Linked DNA regions of Diceros bicornis minor. The protein of the gene in region 1 interacts with the protein of each later gene in a biochemical or structural test. Links are inferred from orthologs where the notes say so. Each region holds a gene or a part of one and is shown on either strand. Other genes may lie near its edges.

The links. The genes of interacting proteins can lie anywhere in the genome.
Region 2: the proteins of SORT1 (region 1) and BDNF form a complex in vitro, tested with the Homo sapiens proteins (2 studies listed by BioGRID and IntAct, with this or other methods). The link is inferred for Diceros bicornis minor from reciprocal best matches to the Homo sapiens genes SORT1 and BDNF.
Region 3: the proteins of SORT1 (region 1) and SORCS1 form a complex in vitro, tested with the Homo sapiens proteins (2 studies listed by BioGRID and IntAct, with this or other methods). The link is inferred for Diceros bicornis minor from reciprocal best matches to the Homo sapiens genes SORT1 and SORCS1.

What each region holds. Positions count from the first base shown.
Region 1 is NC_080743.1:42,464,468-42,472,408, forward strand, and holds the start of SORT1 (sortilin), read right to left. Parts: upstream 3,080-7,941; 5' UTR 3,047-3,079; coding exon 2,741-3,046; intron 1-2,740. Other genes in the region: PSMA5 (proteasome subunit alpha type-5), read right to left, coding at 7,269-7,346.
Region 2 is NC_080746.1:83,690,667-83,697,676, forward strand, and holds the start of BDNF (brain-derived neurotrophic factor), read right to left. Parts: upstream 3,073-7,010; 5' UTR 2,468-3,072; intron 1,520-2,467; exon of another isoform or gene 1,376-1,519; intron 1,144-1,375; exon of another isoform or gene 1,012-1,143; intron 233-1,011; exon of another isoform or gene 1-232. UniProt on the Homo sapiens protein: Important signaling molecule that activates signaling cascades downstream of NTRK2. During development, promotes the survival and differentiation of selected neuronal populations of the peripheral and central nervous systems.
Region 3 is NC_080745.1:71,535,021-71,542,822, forward strand, and holds the start of SORCS1 (VPS10 domain-containing receptor SorCS1), read right to left. Parts: upstream 3,073-7,802; 5' UTR 2,833-3,072; coding exon 2,275-2,832; intron 1-2,274.

The sequences.
Region 1 (7,941 bases):
ACCGTAACTCTGGCCAAGGCATTTCATCTGTTTCTTTAAGACAGAGTTTCATGCCTAACCTCAAAGGGGTACTTACAGGAGGAATGTTTTGAAGCAATCCAACTTAACAACCAACACTAATAAAATCTCCTAGTCTTGTTCAATTTCTCTCATGTACAAAGGTTATACATGTCATGAACACTCCAAGCACATAAAGGAAAGAATCAGTTAAAAGTACAGCATGAAAATAGCTGTGGGTTAGAGGCAAAAGGAAGGTTATTTATTGAGTCTAAGACAGGAACATTTATAAATACACACACACACACGTTGGATTTCATGAGTGAAGCAGCCTTAGTTATTATAGGTCATTAGGGCACAGGTCTCCCGAAGCTGGAAGAATATAAAAGCACTATCATGTTTTCACTCTACTTCCTTTCTTAAGATTAATTAAATGCCAATATATTCTCACCAGCCAAATAAGCCATAGAAATAGGTCTAGGAGATTTGCTAAAGGCTTCTGAGGCTGTTCATCTGCTTTTCTTTGTATCTCAGTACCCCCAGCATCTAGCACAGATCTGGACATTTGGAGGGTATTCACATACATTGGCTATATGAATTAATGGGGTTTGACATGAACAGCAAGTTATATAACAAATAAGAGGAGAACCAAGAACTGTTGATTTTTCTCGGGAACTGAATCCTGTCATCTTACGAAAAACTATTCTAAATGGCACTTCCCCAGCTGTACAAAAGTATACAATATCTCTGATAAAAAGTTGTTCTGTCATGGTGATACTTTTATTTCATACTGTTTATAAAGGGTCCAAAAATACTAGATCTCTTCAATACAGTTCAGGATGATTTACCGTGACTTCTAAAACTAGAGAACTGAAAAGCAGAACAGACTATCACATGACAATTCTTGGTTAAGGAGGTAGACCTCAACCGCGTTACTCACCCATTCCTAAGGTGAAGATTGTTGACAACGGCTCCACTTTTACCATATGTACATGTTACAAAAAGGATGGGATCTCGGAAGAAGGGACCAGGGATGATTAACAAACGCAAAAATGGCTATTCAAAATTAGGTCACTGAAAGAAGACTGAAAAAGAAATAAGCTAAAAAACTCATTGGAAACAGTAGCTAAATAAAATGAAAAAAATAGAGGGAACTTTCTTTACATACAGATTTCAAAGGAGTGGTTTTCAAAGGAGTGGTTTCAGATCTGCTTTTGAGTAGATTTGGCCTAAGGGCCCCCTGAGTCAGCTTTTTCACCCTCTTGCTTTAGAAATCAATATATTACAAATGATATATCAATTCAAACTAACCCGGGAAGACTCTGACTAAAGGAATAAATCCAGAAGTAGCCACAGGTCCTAAAGGTAGGTCAACCAGCAAGAGGAGATTCTGAAATATGGAGTAAGAATGCTGTGTCCAGCTGGCTCAAGGAAGGCAGTGGTCCTGTTATAAATTAAGCATCAGTGTTGTAAAGCCTTTCTCAACTCCCCACTGCGAGATGGAAGTCTACACGATTATTTTTCTCGTCGTCAAACAGGAAGACTTCCCAGTACTCATTCCACCCTATCTGCACCCAGCCTGTCCCACCCGTCAGCACTAGCTTGGCCACCTTTATGTGGCTGCTGCTTGGACTGCATTAAGTGAGGTTATCCCTGACTGCTTGTGCCTTGACTCCAACTGCCCTGGCTCCCCAGATCTGAGAACTCTGCACAAATAACAAGGATAGTCCAGGCAGAGGGAAAAAGACAGTTCAAGGGGAGACTGAAGTTTGGCTGATATGGAATGTATGAGGACAAATGCAGTTAGTCACTTATCTCTGTCCCCATGTACAACTCTCTTTGAAAAAAGGAATGGATATAACGGAGAAGATATATTAAATTGAAAATATATTACGCAAACGTGGGTAGCAACAATTACATCATTCGTTTTAGAAAAACGTGAGGAAGGAAGATGCCCAAGTTGCACTGGAGCAAGGAGCCAGGACACTCCTAACAACTGGCTTTGTCAATCCACTAGTGTGCGAAGGTTGAACCGCTTGTAGGCAGGGAAAGAACTGCCACAATTTTTAAAGTTTTCGACTAGGACCTAGCTCAGAGCAGAATACCTGCAATGTGTTACCTAACTGTTAGAAACCTGGTCACAACAGGATATAAACATCCTGGTCAGAGTCCGATGCCAGGATAGAAGGTCAAACTGAAGGCGAAAGAGAGATCACGTATATACTGTCACCCCTTTTCCAAGCTTGTTCCTTTAACTATTAAAATACACGCAGTAACCTAACAACTGCTTTGGGATTTCTGAGCACCCGCCTACCCGTCCTGGAAGTACTGACCCAGAGAGGACACACCTTTGCTTCTGCGCAGCCCAACTTCTCCAAGCACTTGAGATAATTATTCCTATAGCTTCGTGGTGGCTTAGAGCGTTACTGGACCCTGACTATTTATACACACAGAAAACAACGACGCTCAAGAGATTTTGACAACTTACAAAAACGAATGCCATGAAAGTCTAAGACTGCCTCCCCTGTGACGAAACACAGCCGCTCGGGCCGCGGCGGCCTGGGGGCCGCTCCCCGGGCCCGACTCCGCCCGCCCGCCGCAGTTTCGGGGCCCCAGCGGGGCCGGGGGCTCCTCCGCGGAGCCGCGAGGCGCGCGGACAGAGACAGAGGGACCAGCAGCGCGCGCGGGGCCCGGGGGCCGCACCTCGCAGTCCGGGCGGCGCCCGGGCCCGGCGCCCGCTCACCTGGTGCGTGTTGTTGGCCAGCCTGGTGACGAAGTCCCGGACGCGGCCGCAGTCCTCGTCCTCGTCGAGCGCGCTGCGGCGCCAACGGCCGCCGCGGGGAAACGGGCCCCCGGGCGCGGCCGCGCGCAGCCCCCAGCTCACCCCGACGGGGCCGGACCAGCGCGACAGCGGCGCAGCTGGCGGTGGCGGCGCGTCCAGCCGGTCCTGGCCGAGGGTCGCCGGCGGCAGCAGCTGGAGGAGGAAGAGAAGGCCGAGGCCGTGGGGCCAGCGCGAGAGGCCGTCCGCAGCTCCCCGGGGCCGCTCCATCGCCGCCGAATGCCGATGCCGCCGACACCTGCCGCCCAGCGCGCCCGCCCACCCCCGCCGGCGCCGCGCCACACCCCCGAGCCCGAGCCGGGTGCTCCTTGGATACGCGCAGCCGGGCCTCTCCGCCTCCATAGGCTGGCCGCCTGTCCTTCTTCCCTGGTCCACTCCTCATTGGCTCGCGTCGCCTCCGGCTTCGGGGGTCCTGGATTCGGATGCCAAGATGCGGGACTGATTGGCTGGAACGTGGCAGAGACGGCTGAGGTCATCCCCTCCTCGCCTGGCGTCTCCACGGCCGGGCTTCCAGAGTTAGTGTTGGAGCTTTCTCCCTCTTCCAGTGAAGACCCCCGCTCCGTGGCGCCCTGACCCCTCGTTGCTCCCTCTGGCATCCTCAAGTTGGGGCTGGATTAGTCCCCTTCTCTCCCCACAGAGACACCTCTAAAATTTTGGGGGTTGCGGCAGCGCCTGGAAATCTCAGGGAATCCCTGAGCTTGCTCAGCTGGAAAAGGGGGCTTCGTCATGAACCGGAGCTTCAGGTTTTTAGCCCCCGCGCACTGGAGCGCCCATTGTCTACTGAAGCAGCTGTCTTGCTGCCAAAAAGGTGAATGCGAATTGTGTGGGCTAAATCCTACGGAGGCAGATAGACATCAGGACGTCCGTGACTCATGCAAGCTTGAAGAAAAGTCTCTCCACCACGGACGGCCTCACTCATCTTCTCCTTCTGCAGGGAGTCAGGCCAAAGTTGGAATTGCTTATTGGTTTTCCTGGAGTTAGAAAGTAGCTTAAATAGGAGAGTCAGGTAAAAGGGGGCAAGAGAATTGCCCAATGCCTAGTTTAGACACGATCGTTTTATGGATGCATATTTATCTTTACCAAAGTACCGAAACCCTGCAGTGAGTGCACTGCACATTTTGGTTTCCAGTATATGGTGTCCCCTAAATTAGCACTACGGCTCCAATAAATAAAACAAAACCCCTACGCTGTGCTGTTCCCTTTATCGCAGAAGCTGCCCACATAACTTCTAGAACATGCAGCACAGGTAAAACCAGTTCTGGATCTTAACCTTATTGATTCTATGCCTTCAGAACGACAGAAGTTGTTCAGTAGAAAAGGTAGCAAATAGAAGACACAAAGAATACAAAACGTTACATCTAAATAAGGAAAGCAGCTAAAAATTACTCAACTCTAAACTGGAGGTAAACCTAAATGAGAATATATTCATTGTACAGCAAAATGGTGCAGTGCACCCAACCTAATGTTTACATTAAAATCCTTCTAGTTATGTTAATTTGCAAACAAAAAGATTTACAAATTTGTTTTTCCAGAATAACCATAGTAAGACGTGAGAAGTGAAAAATATGTTTGAATGGCATCTGAGCAGGATGGTAAAATCATTAGAATAGTCTTCCAAGTTCTTAGCTACTGAAATGACAAGATAAAGCTAGATGAAAAGTGGTGGACAATTTGTTCCTTTCCATTAACTACCATGTGTCAGATTACTTTTTAAAATACAAATTATTTTTTAATCTATGCCAGCTGTGGGGTAGATCACAAGACAGTCAGTTCCAGTAACATGTGATTAGCTGGGGGGAAAAAAGGGGCTATACAGGAATATTTCTTTGTTCGGGTGACACAAAGATGAATGGTCTATTGTCTTAAGGTCTGAAAAGAAAATTGCCAACTCACCAGTGCCATCTCATGGAGAAATTCCTAACAACACCTTTTAACTCAATATTAAATTGTTGCAATTATCTGTACCTTTACTTTGTATACATTGCTTTTAGTTATCATTATATGCTTACAGAATATATATTTCCTTCCTCAAACTATATCAGCTGCTAAGTATTTGGTACCATGGTACTTTGCACAGAGAAAATGTTTTGAGTGAATAAAGTGTTTTAGTAGTTCACTTTCATCTAATAACACAGGCACTAAATACAAAAGTTGCACTGTCAGTGCACATACTGACACACAACATCCTACCTTACTGGCAGGACTAAAATACGTAAATTTGTATTACTAAAAACCACACTTTTCTCCAAGATAAATTCTATACCAGAAAGATGAGTAGAAAGCAGTTGCATATCACAAAACCATTGCTTTTCCTTGTAAGATCATTCCTGATTCTATTTAAATTGGACACAAGAAACCTTGTAGAAAGTCTTCAAATTCTACAGAAAACCAAAGTTCTATCTCTTGCAAGAATGCTATAATTCTGTTCTTTCAAGAATTCTAAAATTAGAATTATAGTGGGTATGAAATTTACTGTTTCACCAGCTGTAATCTAAGGTACAAACACACTGCCCAGGCAATGGGAGGGAAAATACTGTAAGCTGAAGCTAAGCTAGTTACACTAAGAACTATTCCTTTTTTTTCCCGCCTACATAACACACGAGTATTTTTCCCCCTATATAATACACATAAGACACACTCTCATCTCTGCCAAAAGCAGCATGTTTTGTCCATTTCTGCATTAATCTACACTGAGTTAAAGGGAATATTGTTTATTGTCTAGTTCTCCCCACTAGAAGTTCCATGGGAGCAGACCATACCTAGTATTTTTACAGCTCTATCCCCAATGCCTAATCCATTATTTGGCATATGATAGGTAGGTACTCAATAAATTTGTTAAATTTGAATAAATGGAAGTTGAGATAGGATTTGATAAAAGGTGAACATGAGAGAAACTAATCCCATGATCACATTATATTTAATAACAGGGTTAAAATCATTAGAAGAGTCTCCAGAACGTTGGTGACAATATACTCTAGTTCCCTACTTTTATGTGTATGTCTAGAGCAAAATTCTTTTCTTCCAAACGTTTCCTGTCATTGCAGTTTCCAAATATATATAAGCACAAGTTGTTTTTCGCTGGAAATACAGTATGAATTTAATATGAATTCAGTGTACTCAAATAATCAGAATTTATTGACATAGAGTACAACTTCCCACAAGTGTTAATAATATACCATCATGGGCCGGCCCCATGGCTTAGCGGTTAAGTGCACACGCTCCGCTGCTGGCGGCCCGGGTTCAGATCCCGGGCGCGCACCGACGCACCACTTCTCCGGCCATGCTGAGGCCGCGTCCCACATACAGCAACTAGAAGGATGTGCAGCTATGACATACAACTATCTACTGGGGCTTTGGGGGAAAATAAATAAAAATTTATTAAAAAAAAATATATATACCATCAATTCTGCATTATCCACATATGGATTAGCCATGTTGTAGATAGTGCAAATACATTCTCAATAACATGTCTCTGTTACTCAGTAGGTATCTAGGCTTCAAGGGACCTTGCATTGTAAAATCAAGAGTTGATTTGAAACTAGAAAATTTGAGTTCAAGTCCCAACAGCTTAATTTTCTGTGTCCACGGTCACACAGCCTTAGATTCTTCATCTGTTAAGTATGATAATGGTATCTATTTCATATGGCCATTTTTGAGGCTCCAATAGATTGATAATCTCAACCAGTTATATGATGGTAGCTCTAATGAGGGAAGTTTATAGTACATTCCAAAGTCTAATGTAAACCATTTCTGAATTACACCATTCTCTCTTTCTGATTTGTAATTGATCGTCAGCAAGACCAAGCTCATGAATTATTTTACAGTCCTTAACTTCATAAAAAAAGAAAATCTCTTTCCAAATAGACTCATAAGACACAAGAACTGGTACAACATTGTAGCTGGCTTACTCCAACCCACCAGTGTTTTGGGGAGGACCTCAAAATATGTTCTTTTAATGGTCAATTAGTAGCATCTCCTTTGTACAAGGAAAGCAGCAAAAATACCTATTTACTCAAGAGAAACTACAGGACTGAAATAGATTTACAATGTTATTAATACCTATAAACCACTGGGAGGAGCTGGGCTAGCTTGAGTTCATTTGCCAACACCAAGGGATTCATGATATAGTTGATTCTGCTGTAGAGAGCCACTAAAACAATTTTAGAATAGAAACTCTGACAGGCTAGGGATATTAATACCACTATCCTTTTTGCCCCCTAACAAAAGCATTTCGAACAAAAGACTGCATTAGGATAGTCTATTAACAAATATTTTAAATTTTTCTTTATTTCAGAACTGCCTTTATGTACAGACATCATAAAAAAATGCACATACACTGGAGAATTTCCAAGGAACAGGAGCTGGAAATAAAAGTTAAGGGCAATTAGGAGAAATGAAATTGTCCCAGAGAAGTTCTGAGTATCACACTTCCTTAAATGTCCTTGATAACCTCTTCAAGTTCTTCCTTTGTGAACATGTGGAAATTCTGGCCAGGTTGCACTGTGGCTAGCTGGAAAGAAAACAGAGAAGGGTTAATAAGCTGGACTGGATCACCCTGCTGAGAGCCCTAGCGTGGTCAGAGGTTGTGTTGGTGATGCAGCTGTTCATTAGGAACTAAGGGATCTGCTGTCCCAGGGATATCCTTTCTAGCAGCAGCTTCCTAAAATAGCTCTCTGACTCTAAAATAAAAATTCTTATTGACTAAATTTTCTATTTTGAGGTTAACCCACCACATAATAGTTAACCAAATGCCTGGTGTCACTCTCACTTCTTAAAGTTACTTCAACAAGGATCACAAAAGTAGCAGCAAATCACATGGGGTCAGTACTTTCTTCTGTTAAAGATTCCTTTAGAAATATACTAAAAGCATATTTACACACTTGCAAGTTGAGCTTGTGTGTGTGATCTCGGGTTACTTGGCCACTCTGTCCCTCAATTTCCATCAATAAAATGGGAATAATAATAGCACCTAAGTCATAGATTAATCGTGAGGATTAAATGTGTTAATATATGTAAGGTGCATAGAACAGTGCCTAGATTATTATAAAAACATCAAATAATCATTAACTATTAGGTAGTTTTTCCTCTAAAATTGTCCATACTGC
Region 2 (7,010 bases), on another chromosome or scaffold:
AATCATATACTGCTTTGCTTTAAAAGATAACTGTACTAGGAGAATTAATAAACATTCAGAAATATGCTTTTCTTTGCTTCTGGCCAAGAACATTCCTGCATTCTCGTCGGAAAATCTTCACTGGTTCCTGCTGACATCGAGGAGCCGATGTAAGATACCTGCAGGACCCTAAAATAAGACCCAGGAAGCCCTAACACGCCACCCACCGCAGCCTGTCACAGCTCCCCCAGCGCGAGGAGTCAAAATTCACCCAAGTCGGGAGTCACAAGCGGCGTTCAACAAGTCCCTCCCACCAGCTCCCGGAGGGATCCCGCGAAGCCATCCCCACCGCGTCCCCGCCCCCAGCAGCTGCTCTGGGCCGCGCGGCCGCCAGAGGGCACCCTCTACCTTCCTAGCGCCGCTCTCCCCGCCCCCTCTCCTCGGTCCACCCCCCAGCCCGGTCCACCCCAACACACAAACACAGCATCCTCCGACCGCGAGTCCAGTTCACCCCAGCAGCCCCGAGGCTTTCCCCCCTGGGGGTGCCCCCAGTCTGCAATTGCCCTTCTCTGCCCGTCGGGCATCAAGCCCCCAATCCTCAGCTATTCCTGGCACAGCTCACTCACCCATTCCTTCTTCCAGCTCTGCATCCCCAGAGACCAACCCGGGTCAGGACACCCCACACACACACCCCCCCCAGGCCCCGAAAGTCAAAACTCTCACTGCCCCAGAAGCTGCCCCAAGGGAGGGGTGCGGGATGGAGACAGGCGCGGGCACAGCCAGCCGCGGAGTACCGTAGCCCCTCTCCGCTCCGAGCGCCAAGAGGGTCCCAAGTTTTCCGGGATACATTGGCGCGGGACCTGTATCAGTCGGCTTTGGTCTCAGCTTCTGGGGAGCAGGTGACCGTGAGCAGCACGGCTTGAATCCTGGGGACGGGGATGCGGGCTGAGGACGCAAGGGCCCCCCCCAAAATTTGCGCGGGGATCGCCCAGCCCAGGGGAAGAATTCACATCCCAGCCTCGACACCCTCACCTGAGTCAGGGCCCCCGACGGCTGGCGCCCTAAATCTCTCTCACGACCCCTCCTCGCCTGGGGGAGGGTTGCGGGGGCCCCCGTAGCGCCGTCTTCGCTCCCTTCGCGCCGCTCCGCGTCTCCTCTTGGCTTACTCCCCCCCTACTCCAGGCCCTGTCGGATCCCTCTCCTCGGGGTTCTGGCTGCCCCACAGGCCCGTGGGGTGGGAGGAGAAAGCCCCCCGGGAACGACTCCAAATGCCCCTTCTCCTGGAGGAGAGGAAGGAAGGAGTTCTGTCTCTTCCCCCAACTTCGGGGCCCCGCAGCCAACTTTCCCCGAGGACGGGCGGCTCCCGCGCCCAGCCCCACGCCCGCGGCTCGCCTACCTCGGGGTCCACACAAAGCTCACGGGTCCCCGGCGGCGGAGTCACATCGTTGTCCCGCCCGCGGCCCCTGCGCGCAGCCCCGGGCCCCGTCGCGGAGCCGCTCGCCGCCGGCTCCCCAGCAGCGGTGGCGGCTGCAGCTCGGGTGTCTCATCAAAGCCTCACGAGGCGGAGGGGGCGCGCGGGCCGGCTCCTCGGCCCCGCCCGGGAGCCCGCGGCGCGTCGGGGAGCGCGGGACGGCGAGTGGCCGGCTGTGCCCGGGCGCGGCGGCGGCGGGCACCGGAGCTCCAGCCTGCGCCTCGGCCCGGGTCAGACATTATTTAGCTCTTCGGTTGCGCCTGGATTGGTCAGACGGCGCCGCCCCCCGCCCCCGGCCCCCGCCCCCGGCTCGCCCGCGCCACCGACAGCCATGCGGGGCGGCCGCTTAAAGGGAACGCCGCGCCTTTTCCTCCTCGGGCTCAGCCCCCGGGACTCCTGGGGCTCGCCGGGCCCGCGCGCCCCGCGCGCCCCACGCCGCCGGTCCCCAGGGCCCCGCGACGTACCTCCGCAAGCCCCGCGCCCGCCGCCTCGAGGGGTGCGCCAGCCCCGCCCCGGGGAACCCCGCGTCCCGCGCCCTCCGCGGAAACCCCGGCCCCGCGCGCTGGCGCCGGAGGGAGCGAGCGCGAGTCCGGCGCCCGGGGTTCAGCTCCCCTCCCTTGCACGCCCTCGCCCCATCCCGGCACCCAAGTTGTGTGGGAGAGGGCATGCGTTTCCCGGGCCACAGACACACCTTCCCGCACCTTCCCGCACCACGGAGCTTGCAGACGCGAGCACACAATGAAATGGCACAGAGCATGGGGGCTATTGGTTTACTCCGCCGTCTTAAACACGCCGGCTTAACCCGAGTTCGTGCACTGACCTCTCCTGAGTTGCCTAATAGGAATTCAATCAAGATAATAACGGCATTTTTTATTAATGAACGCCCCCAGATAACGTTACACCAAGTTACTTGCTCCAGCCGGAAAACCGAAGCAATGACAGACCTCCCTAAAGCCACACGCTTCCCAGCAGACCCAAGAGAGAAAATGGGAAGAGAAAGAAAGAAAAGAAACCCACCTTTTCAGTCACTACTTGTCAAAGTAAACATCAAGGCAGCTGCTCTGGGGAAGACTCCGGCCCCGAAACTCCCAGACTCTATTATTTTTTCACGTTCCCTTTGGTTAAAAAGAGGGGGGGGGGGGCGAGTCTTTGGTGCCCGGTAGGTACTCCTTCTGTTCTGCAGCAAAGAAGTTAAATTATTGATAGTGGAAATTGCATGGCGGAGGGGACACGCGCACCCCCCGAGCGAGGAGCTCCATTTGATCTGGGCAGCGGCGGGGAGGGCTCATGCTCGCGCGCCGGGAGCGGCCGCCGAGCCGCCCTCTCCGCGCTGAATGGGAAAGTGGGTGGGAGTCCACGAGAGGGCTCCACGGTGCCTTGACGTGCGCTGTCATATGATACCTCCGCTGCCTCGAAATAGACACTCCAGTGCACGAATTACCAGAATCAAAATTCAGCGCATTTAAAATGATACATCTTTTATTAGAAGAGTTCTGTTCCGGGCCACTGCATGGGTTTGCAGATGTTTTCGCTTCCCTCCCTAGGAAACTTACACACATAAACCGACCTTTTTAATAATGAACCTGGATAGCAAAGATAAATTTAAAAACCTCCTGGTTTAACGTGTGTGTGCGCGCGCGCGCGCGTGTGTGTGTGGAGTTGGCTCAGTTAATCCTCCTCCCGCCCCCACCCCCGCCCCCAAGCAGGAAAGCTAGCAGTCTTTCGGGTTCTTATTTGCCGGCAGTCAAGACCCTTGGCGAGAACTTAAGTGGCTAGGGCCCAGAGGACCATTTTCAATTTACCATTGGACGAACGCTGTCAACCGTCTACTTAGGTTCCTGCTTTAGAGCTGAATTTTCTTCCCATTAGTTCAACCGATTCGTACGCACTAGGACAGACCTAAAAATTTAGAATAAGGAACAAGACAACAGTACTTAACTTGGAGTCCTTGGACCTCCTCCGAGCCTAAAAATCACCAGGGTGCCTGTTAAGATGCAGATTTCTCCTCCTGAAATTGTGATTTAGCAGGGGTGGGGCCGGGTCCAGCAATTAGCATTTTAAGAAGCACCTGAAGCAATTCGGATGCCGAAAATCTGAAGTCACACTTTGAGAAACACTCTTTCTTAGGGATGCATAAACGGGGGTCAGAGGAATCTCCCATCCTCCCAAAATTTGGTAGGCAGTTTTACGTGTATGTACATTTTTCTGTAATCTCAAAGGGGTTTGACCTAATAATTGCTAAGACGCATTGCTGTAAGAATTTCTCTAAACACTCCAACATTAATTTGGAGAAAGGGAAAGATTTATAAACAGTTTCCTTTCCTGGACCCTCTTGTGGTTGTCAAGAATGTGCAGTTGGACTGAATATATAATATTATTATATACTCAGTTCCGTTTACCTAAAGGTTTACAGTTAACAAAATTAGTTCACTTACATTAGCTGTTTTAGAGTTTCTAAAGACTAGTGACAGAAATTATTATTCTTATTTTATAAAGGAAGAACCCGAGGCTCAGTGCCACGAAATAATTTGCCCAAGTTCACACAGCTAAATGCCAGAGACAAGACTTCAATGAACTCAGGACATCCAGCTAGAACTATCCCTGCCTCCCCCACCCCCAATAAACGGAGCTATCTGAAGTGTCACCAGGATGTGTGATCTTTCAGAGCTTTGCAAATTGTTGGACTGAAGAGTCAAATTATTCAAATATATGCATATTCTTAGAGTGTCACACATTTAGCTTTGCACCTCTATCAACTTGACAGAACACGTGACCAATACAAACTACCCTACAGCACAGATGGCGGAGTTTATTGTGGAATATTTCATGTATGTGAAATATGCAGGCTAACCAGAAGCCACCAAAGGACAGAGGACATGAAGTTGGGCTTGGCCACCTCAAGGAAGCCCTGTATTGATTCCCAGGGGTGTAGGCTGAATGCAGACACAATTTCTTTTAATATTGCAAAATAATTTAAGAGGCTAGTTTTATAAGTGAAAAAATCAAATACTTGTACCACTTTATAAAGTACGGGAGGACCTCTAACCTAAACTTTTTTTTATTACCTTATGCTAACTTCAAACTGATCCTTACTTTCCGACTGTAAATTTGTTTGAAAATGAGCTATTTCCCCAGGTTTTAAGCTCAATTGTAATGTACTTCGTTCCTGAGAAATACCTAGCAAGTGAACATCAAGAATCTTAGTATTCTCAATGCTGCTTGGTGGTTAGAAGTTACAGCAAATCTACCTGCTAAGTGCACATTGCCACGTCAGCATTTCTGCGGAAGGGGAAAGCATTCTCATTTCCCAGACTCTGACTGTGTCTGCGGCCAATCTTCTAATTCCTACTCTCCCTTGACATTATACAAATAAATGTTTGTATCTTTACTTTCCAGTATGTGGTGCAGTTTTACTGAGGAAAAGACAGAGGAGTCGGAAATGGTAGGAATATTTAGAAATAAAAGAAGACCAAATGTCAGTGCAGATAAGCCCTCTGATCATCAGACCTCTTGACACTTCTGAGCATCTCCAAACTTTCTGATTTGTGATCATAGTGTTACCAAAACGATAAAAGACCAGACTTAAACACTTGTCTATTTGCCTTCAAAGTACCTCTTACATTCAAAAACAATGAGGCCAAGATAAGCTAAAGTCATACCAGCGCTTGCACGGAATTCTGAATAATTTTTTAATTTAATTCAGGTAGCATATGCAAGGTCTCAGATCAAAGTTTTTACAAAATCATTTTCCTATTATTTCTCAGGGTGATGCTGAGAATACAAAGCATGCATTTCTGATTCTTCTTAAAGACTGGTCTCTGACGTGATTGATATGTTAGAAGCAAAGATTCCAAGTTTATGATCGGAACATTTTCTAACCACCCAAAGGAGGAAAAATTTCGCTGCTTGAAAAGAAAATCCTCCCTATTTCACTTCTGTGGGGCTTAAAAATTAATTATGAATTAGTCAAAATCTTTCTTTATTTTTGGTTGTGATCTAATACTATCCTAACCCAATGTCCTAGAAGGACAAAGGTTAGGAAGGAATGTGAATTCCCATCTATTCTTGTCAGGAAATGTAAACTAATCCTCATTACTCAAGTGGAAACAGAGGCAGCAGGCTCAGATTTGACATTGACATATTTTTTTCTATTAATAATTTTAATTGGCTGAAGTAAATTCTACTATCACTATAAGCATTTTGTTTAATTATGTTTATTAAGTTTCCTAGTTACTCCTGCTTTCAGTCTGCCTTGCAAAAAAAAAAAGTCTAGAATTCAATGAATTGACCTCAAAAACTGCTGAAAATTGGAGTAAGTAATTAGCATAGGGAAATAATAAGTAGACAGAAAACTATCCTGCTGAGCAGAGTGGCAAAGGTGTTTTCAAATTCATGCTGCATGATTTCAAAGGCCCGGTCCAGCCTCCAACTATGTCACTCACAATCCTCCAAATTCTTAAGTAAGGCCTGTCCTGAGAAAAATCTTAAGGGAGACATAATATCCCTATTCATTAGACGGTACCTTAAAATGAGGTGTACTTCTCTGTAAGCTTTTCATGAACCATGAGAAGAGCTCCATGCCATGTTCAAATGTGTCCAAATCGGTCAACACTTGTTTCAGGAATTATGTAACCAGCCAAGGCCATTAGTGGCAAACAAAAGAAAGAAACTACAGCAAGAAAATGTTAGAAGGGCCAAGATTAGGAGAGTAGAACAAGAAGGTCAAACACTGATCCCATCTGGGAATAATATTTAGTTGGATCAAGAAAAACAGCACAAAAACCATCATGAAACAACTGAGACTAACCCCCAAACATATGAGAGTCATCAACTTGTAACCCTCCAAGTTACCAGATTTTCCCTGAGAACATTTAGAAAGTAATCGTGAAGGATAAATTGGTTTACTCGTGATGTTTCTATAAGCATGGTCAAAAGGGATGTGATTGTGGACACGAGTTAGAGCTGACGAGGACAGCTGACTGTGGTATCTCTTGGTTTTACTGGGAGAAGAGCCACGAGAAGAATCAGCAAGTTTAAACCAAAGGATTTCAGGACATTAAATCAGATTGTAAGGAGCAAATTACCTTATTTTCGAGACCCAACTATTTAGGCTATGTGATGATTGGGGTGAGAGATTTTCTACTGCTAAATTTTATATTCGTCATGGAGAAAGTTAGAAACATATGCAAAAAGATAATTTAGAAAAAAATAATTACCGAACTTCCTAAAGTTGTATTTTAAAAATCACACTAAGAATTTGGCCTATTTTTATGTGATTCTGAATTTACACAGTGCCTATCTCGAATGGTCTTTTTTTTTTTTTTTTTTTTTTTTTTTTTTTGTGAGGAGATCAGCCCTGTGCTAACATCCGCCAATCCTCCTCTTTTTTTGCTGAGGAAGACGGCCCTGGGCTAACATCTGTGCCCATCTTCCTCCACTTTATATGGGACGCCGCCACAGCATGGCTTGCCAAGCAGTGCGTCGGTGCGCGCCCGGGATCCGAACCAGCGAACCCCGGGCCGCCGCAGCCGAGCGCGCCCACTTAACCGCTTGCGCCACC
Region 3 (7,802 bases), on another chromosome or scaffold:
AAGTTTCTTTCTGCCTTCTTCCCCTTTAAAAACTATTTTAAACTTTGTCTCTCCTATGAATCTGGGCCAGCTTTGTTTTGGAGGACCTAGATAAAGACTATTGCTCTCCCTCTACCATCTGTACGTATACACTAAAAAAACAATTTATGTGTAGGCAGCAGGATGGGGGGTGGGGCGGCTGTCCTCACAGAAGAAGAGACTTCAGGGGGGAGAAATCTTATTAGTGACATGATTTGAGTGCTCAAACTTTTAACATGCACCACCTTGATTATTTCCTACATTATCTCAGATTTCCCTGCAAGTCGCCCATGCAAGCTCTGACCTTAGTAAGCCCAACTGGGTTTATAAGCACCATTCAAAAAAAAAAAAAAAAAGGCTGGCAGTGCTTGGCACCATATCTTAAATGAAGTTTAAAATTTGCCAAAAACATACTCTCCTGTTCTCACTCTTTCCAAGCTCTTTCAAGAGATGAACTAAAGTAGAGGTCTAATGGGTGAGTGATATTTTACAGCTTGAATTACATTAAAAGCCAGAAATATTTTGAGGCCAAAATCCTTTATTTCTTGATACAATAAGATCTAATATGTTTGATGTGTTTGCAATCTCCCCTTAAAGCCAGAAGCTTCGAGTTAAATCACTTAAAGCAGTGCAAAAGTTACTCAATCAGTTTAAGAAGATTCAAATTCAAATTGGGGGATTAATTTTAGTGGTTATGATATAAAAGATAGGATAGTTAAGTTAAGGCATGAGGACAAGGATCTCCAGAATTTGAACGGAAAGAATTTCGGCTTCAATTACTTGATTAAACCTCTCCTGAGAACCATATAAAACCACAGCCTCAGTCATGAAGGCTGAATTGTAGGCAAAATCCTGCTGGTGCTCTCAGGACGGAGACATAATACAAAATACTATTTATCACGATTGCCTTAATATAGTTGATATCTATGTACCTGAGAAATTCATAATGACAGACTATTATTTTAAAATGTTCATGACTTTCATTAAAAAGCTGACAACCAGCACAACTCACTAAAGTGGCACTTCCTCTGTGTCTAGGAAGGTTTCTGGCAATTACATCACAACTGAAAACATCTGAAAGGTACCAGGATGTATAGACTGTGCATATTACAAATACTACAATCTCAATAACCTGACAGAAGCTGAAACTTTGATTTTTTTTTCATTGTACCTATCCTTAGTTTTTATGTTTTTCTTGTCTGCCTAATGGCAGCCAGGAGAAGTTTCCACAGTTTTAAATAGTCTTCAGTTATCATCAAAGCTGGTTCTTTACTATTTCCGTTCATTGAAATTTCCAGGTGCAGTTTAAACTAGAATAGCTACCTAAGATTCCAGACATGCAGGCTTTGCCAAAAATCTAAAACCTTCCCTGATGTGGCCAAAGCTCATGGATTTGCACCCACTCTCCCCAGTGTCAGCCTCCTGGAATCCGGCAATCCCTCTCTTCCCCTCATAAAGAAAAAGCTAAGCCTTTATTTGTGCTCTTCACTAGAGGAGGTCAGGCAGTGGGGGAGAACAGGGAGTTGTTGTCACTGGGATATATCTGATCTTCCTGGGACTGATCACGCCAGAGAACAACCACTCATTCACAGGCTGGAAAGCCCCAGCTCTCAAAACACACTGGCTTGTGCTGTTAGAAGATGCTGGAGAGTTCCCGTCCTGAAACTTGCATCCACTTGGTCCCCAGAAACAGAGAATACATCAAGGGCACCTTATCAGCCACTGTCCATTGCATTTCTCTTCCCTTGTGGGTAAGAGGAGGTTGGCAGCTCTGCATAAAAAATAAAATTAAAAGCCTACAAACAAAGCCTTCTTGATCTTACCTGAGCTCATCCACAAGTCTAGCAAGTAAAGGGAAAGTCACTTGAGGGAATGTCAGCCAGCCTGGAAATTTAACCCTTTCACCTCCGCATTCAGAATACTTTGACCCCCACCCCTACCCCCCTACCCCTGCTTGCCTGGTCTTCAGATCCATACTACACCAATGTGACCAAAGAAACAGGAAATAGGGATTTACCTGACCCTTTAGAAGCGTTATTCGGGTTTGGAGAGGACTCTGGTTGTGTTGGGGGCTGGGGGTGTTTGGTCATCTAATAGGTAACATTAACTCCTGAGGGAGGTGAGCAGGGAAGACCTTAGTTTGCAGCGTCTTTCAAGTCCAGAAACCCCATTTCCCCAAATTCTCTATCAGATCACAGAGCCCACTTTAACCCTTTCCATCTCTCACCCCTTTGCCCTCAGTCCCATTCTACTCACGCTGCTGTTGTGGCCAGACCAGTGGACCATGGCTTGGTTGTGTGCTGAGTCGCCTGTCAGCGCGAACGTGGTGCTGGTCAGTCTCAGCTCCTCCATCCGGAAGCGAGTGGCTTTGTCCGGGTCCCGCTCCAGAGTCCCAGGCTCCTGCTGCCCTCCGTCCCTTAGCACTCCCCGGGGGTTTCTACTCGTGCCTTCTCCCCGTTCTGCCTTCTGCTGATCCGCTGCACTCCGTCTCCTCCGGCCAGAGCGGGGAGCAACCGCCACCGACGCCCCGGTGCCGGGGGCCCGCTCCAGGAACAGCGCTCGGTCTCCCGGGGCCACTGCGAACAGGGGGCGCCCAAGGAGGGGCAGGGGCGTGGCAGGAGCCCTGCCTCGCGGTCCCTGGTGAGGAAAGCCCCCTGGGGTCGGAGCCCAGCGCTGGGCCGAGCTGGGGTGCAGCGGGGGACAGCAAGAGCCGCCGCCGAAGGCGCCCGGGGCGCAGAGGACCAAGAGCCCTGCGCCGGCGAGAAGCGCGCTCAGCCGGGCTGGGGAGCCGCCGGCCGCGCCAACTTTTCCCATCGCAGGAGCAGAGAGGAGTGGAGAGAAGGTTCCGGACCGGAGGTGGAGGCGCGGTGCTCTCCGCTGGCCGGCTGTGGGGGACAGGCGCTCAGGACCCCAACTCCATCCAAGTTGGGCCGCGGCGGGGGCGGACGGAGGCGGCGCGGGGCAGGTGGCTGCCGCTTGTCCAGGCTGGGCTGGTGCCGAGCGCGGGTTCGGACCGAGCGAGCCGCCGCCACGCGGGGGTGGAGCTGAACTGAAGTCACGGGCGGAGCGGGCGCTGGCGCGCTGGCAGGCGACGCGGGAAGGAGGGCGGGCGCTGCCGGGGCTCCCGGCGCCGCGTCCCGCTCCCGAGCTGCGCTGCGCGCGGGTGGCTGCGGGGACCCGGGGCGCTGCCGACCCTCCCCTTGGGCTCGCCGCCGCTGTGGCCGCCCGCTCCTCGCAGCCGCCCGCTCTGCGCCCGCGGGGCCGCGGGTCTCCGCGGTGAGCCCGCGCGCCCCTCCGGTGGGGGCGGTCAGCCCGGAGCTCGCTGAGTGGTCACTGTGTTGGGGAATTCCTATTCCTGTTTTATTGTTTCTATCAGTCTCTGTTGCTGTTTCCTTTTCCCTTGGTCTTTTCCAGTTTAGGTTAGAAGGTAGGGATGGATGAGCTCCTGCTCTTTCCCTTCTTAGTCTCGGTGAGTTGCCGTCTCGACCTTACCTTGAGCAGAGCCTGAGTGTCGGGCCTGGGGGAGATCCCGGAAAGGCAACAGCAAAGAATGATGTAATTAAATGATCGTGTGTGTGTGTGTGTGTGTGTAGTTTGGGTTTTTTTTTCCATCAGTTATCAGCTTAGACTCCTTTCCTGACCTCCTAAAGCATCCACTGTATTTGAACCCAATCTTCTCGCATCTTCTCGCCGTATATCTTGGCTTCCCTAAGAGACTACAAACTCATTGAGGACAGGAAGACCAAATTGTGAGCAACCTCGAAGAAGCGAAGAGCTTATTTGATTTGCCATTTTATCCTCAGAGCTTGACACAGTGCCCTACCCGGTGGGAAATCTGTCAGTCGTTAATTCTATAAATATTTATTGTAAGTCTATCCTCTCTATATATGCAAATAAATACAGGAAAGGAGGCATCCTGCTGTATTTACTCTGTCAGTTGTGCCTAGCCCAGAGCTACTAACGCATGCCTTAAGGTTCTTATTAGCAAATCCCAAGTCTATGCTGGGTGCTCTGCTACTAGTTTGCTGTGGGACCTCAGACAAGCAGCAATCTCTAAGCTTCCTACAATTTAAAATTAAGTGGTTGTTTTAGTTGACCTTTAAAATCCCTTCCAATCCTAAAATTCTATAATTGTATGATTATAATGTCTGCCCAGCCCAGCTCCCCTGCTACTGTTCAAAAGTTCAGATGAAGATTTACAGTAGGTGAATGGGCTTTGAAAATTACAAAGAACTTCTCAAAATCCAAGCCTTTTTCAAATAGAAAGTTTGCTTCTAAGGGTTGAAATACCTTCAGATTTCTTTGTAGTCTTCACGTGCCTAATAATACTTCCTTATCACCTGGTAACTATTAAATTATTCAATGAATATTTACTGATTGAATAAATGAATGCCGCAACGTGATAGTACAATTTCCAGTTTCTAATTACATTTTTGTTCATTTTGACACTTGCAAAGGTAACCTCACTGAAAACTCTGAATGCTGAGTTTGTGATGGAACCAACTTGAAAGTAACAGAGTGATAATTACTCTTCAATTAATGATACCTCTTTTGATATTGTCCAAGAGGAATTTCTCTTAAAACAGTTAAACCCAGAGTTCTGTTACAAAACGTTAATTTAAGTTATTGTTCTTATGACCAATCCAAGTAATGTGCAAATGCAAGGAGAGCAGGCTTCTCAGCCATTAAACTGAATATTTAAAAGGACAAAAGAGCATCCTGTTTGTCATTAAAGGAGACTCAGTCTGTTCTCTCAAAAGCACCTTTACTACCCAAGCCTGAATCCTCTGGAGAAAGGAACACTATCTGGCAGACTGTGGTTTCTAGATGGAGGAGAGGAGAGCCGGAGGTCCTTCTTCCTCCCAGAATTACAAATGCTCTTTGTCAAAGCCCAGGGCACTGGTTCTCCTCTCCTCAGCAAGGTTTTCAGAGCTTTGTAGGATCATTTGCTTAATGCCTTCTTTCTATGCCCTGCTAACCTCCTTTCCAGTCTGGATAAGGGAGAATTCCTCCAAGAGAGGAAAACCAGATGAAAAAGTCAGAACCCATATACATTCCCATCCAAATATAGGACTGGAAAAGGCAAAATAGAAGAAGAAATTAGTGGATTCAAATTTTCTGGTCTTAGTCTATTATTGCCCTACCAAAATTTAGATTGTTTAGATTTCAAAATGAAGTTCTTCCTGAAGAATTGGTACAAGTAGAGCTGATTTTTCCTCCCCAAAGAGTTTATAACTCCCATCTTTTAAAACACACCTGTTACAAAGATCCCTTTAAATTGAATGCATTTGCAGGCCACTTGCTGAGAATTCAGAGAGGGCAGGCACTTTTTTAATGCCTGATTTTTGTTGTTCATTTGAGAAAAAGTTTACACAGATGACAATGAAATTGGCTCCAAGTATTCTTGTTGTTTTTATAAATTCATTTTATTTCTCGTAGGTCTGATCCCCATTGAAGTTTGGCAACAAGCAGAAAGGGAAAGTACCAGTAATTCCCTAAACCATCCTCCTTTTCCAGAAAAGTTCAAGAAATAAGCTAATCATGGAGGAAAGTGGGCTAGTCTATTTCAAGGTGTTTTCAATCCAACAACCCGCTAAGAAACCCAATAGGTTTTATAAATATAATGCATTAATAATGGGTCATTTATTAGGAAAACAGTTTATATCAAAGGCCGGTAGAGAGTTAGATCTGTAATCCAATAAGGAGTCTTTTCATTATGTATATGAAAAATTTACCACCACCTAGTCTAAGTTACCATCACTTCCCACCTGGACTAGCACAGCAGCCTCCTGACTGTGCTCCCTACTCTGCAATTGCTCTGCTCCATCCTTTCTCTAGAATAGTCATACCAAAGTGGGGTACGAGTACCCAAATGGTACCACAAGATGATTTATTTGTGTGCAGGAAGAAAATAATAGCCTCGTTAACATTTAATTACTGAAAAACATATATCTGTTCTATATACATATAAGAGAGAGAGACAGAAAAGAGAGAGAGCAAATATGAACATTTTGAAGCCACATGCTGGTTGGTGTGCATAATCAAAAAAGTTCAGATGCCTTGCCCTACAAAACAGCAAAGGTGGTCTTCCAGAAGTATAAAAAGTATCATTCCTTGCCACTGTTCAAAATCCTTCACTGACTTACCATTGCAAACAAAGAAAATCTGCACTCCTTACCATGACCAATCAGGTCTGCATGAGCTGGGTCCTGCCCCGTCCTCAATCACATTTGGCAGCACGCTCCCTCCTCACTCATATGTTCCAGCCATTCTGAGCAATCCTTTCCTCCGATGTGCCAAGTTGTTTTTCCAACTCATAGCCTTAGCATATGCTGTTCCACCTGCCTGGGATGCCCACGGCCATCCCCACCTCACATGGCTGACTCATCTTCTTTGAGACCTTCTCTTTAAATGTACTTCCTTAGAGAGACTTTCCCTGACTCCCTACCTAAGAAGAAATTCCTTTCATATTTTCTGTGCCAGCCCCATATTAGTTTTTTCTTAGCATATATTATAGCCTTCAGTTATTTTATCCGAATATTTTTTGTTGATATTCCTCAAAAACCATGTGCATAAGACCTGTCTCCCTTTGCCTCCTTCAGTGCCTGGCTCAATGTAAGTGCTCAATAAATAACGATTGGCTGGCTGCACAGTACTTGTGTAGCAGCATTACCTGCACAACTTCTAGTAGTTAACACTTTGTAAATCAGTTGTTACATGTGCCAGAAACCGTGTTAAGGATTTAACATGTACCAGCTCATTCATTTTTTTACAAAATTTATCTCAACTAAGTACTATCATTGTCCTCTCTTTACAGACCACGTTAAACAGCTACCCAGAGTCACACGGCAATTTAGTGCAAGAGGCGAGGCTTTAACCCACGCATCTTATTTCTAATATGTTCTTGACTTTATGCAATACTGTTTCTACTCCAAATCCAACTAATAACAGATAATATTCATTGACAATTTACTATGTGCCAGGCACTCTAATTAGCACTTTGAATCATTTTTAGTAATGTTGAGTAAGCAATTTTGGACAAGTGAGCAAGTTTGTCTGGGCTGAGGGGAATATCTGTATTCTCCAACTTATATTTGCTTGTATTGGTGAGGGCGGGGGGGTAATGTTAAAGAGAGTGGTGTATTCATTACTCACATAACCTCACTGCATGAAATACAGTAGCTGTCACATTGATTTTCTTCTTCCTTTTTTCCTAGCTCTCTCCATATCTGATGGATACCTTGGCTTCGGCTGCACTAAATCACATTATATGTCTCATCATTAGAACAATGTCTTTTAATAGCTCTCAAAATACTTGGCTCCCCTTGGATACCATTGAGACAAGGTGTCTTGCCTTTCAGATCAATTTCATGAAGCACCACAGAAAGAAAACTGGGGAGAATAATATGCAGACTCTTCTCATTGCCTGCCAAGAAGATGATGAGATTTTTTTAAAGCTGCCCTTTAAAATACTTTCAGATATCAGCAAATACTGGCCTAGGTATGAATCCAGTAATTGTGTCTCTTCTCATACGCCCAATCTAAGTGGCTTTAACAGAAGGGCTTAAGCCCTCTTATCTGTAAAAATAGGTCTAAGATTATCTACCTGACTCGTAAGGATGTTGTAAAAGTTAATTCAACCTCATATACCTGTTGGAGATAACAACACTGTGTTGTATTTATGTAATTTGGATCTCATCAACAGTTTTAGACCTCTAAACAGTTTTTGGGTTTTTTTCCCCTAGTTTAATAAATCTTGCAGCAGCTCCAAAAGATAGGTAGGG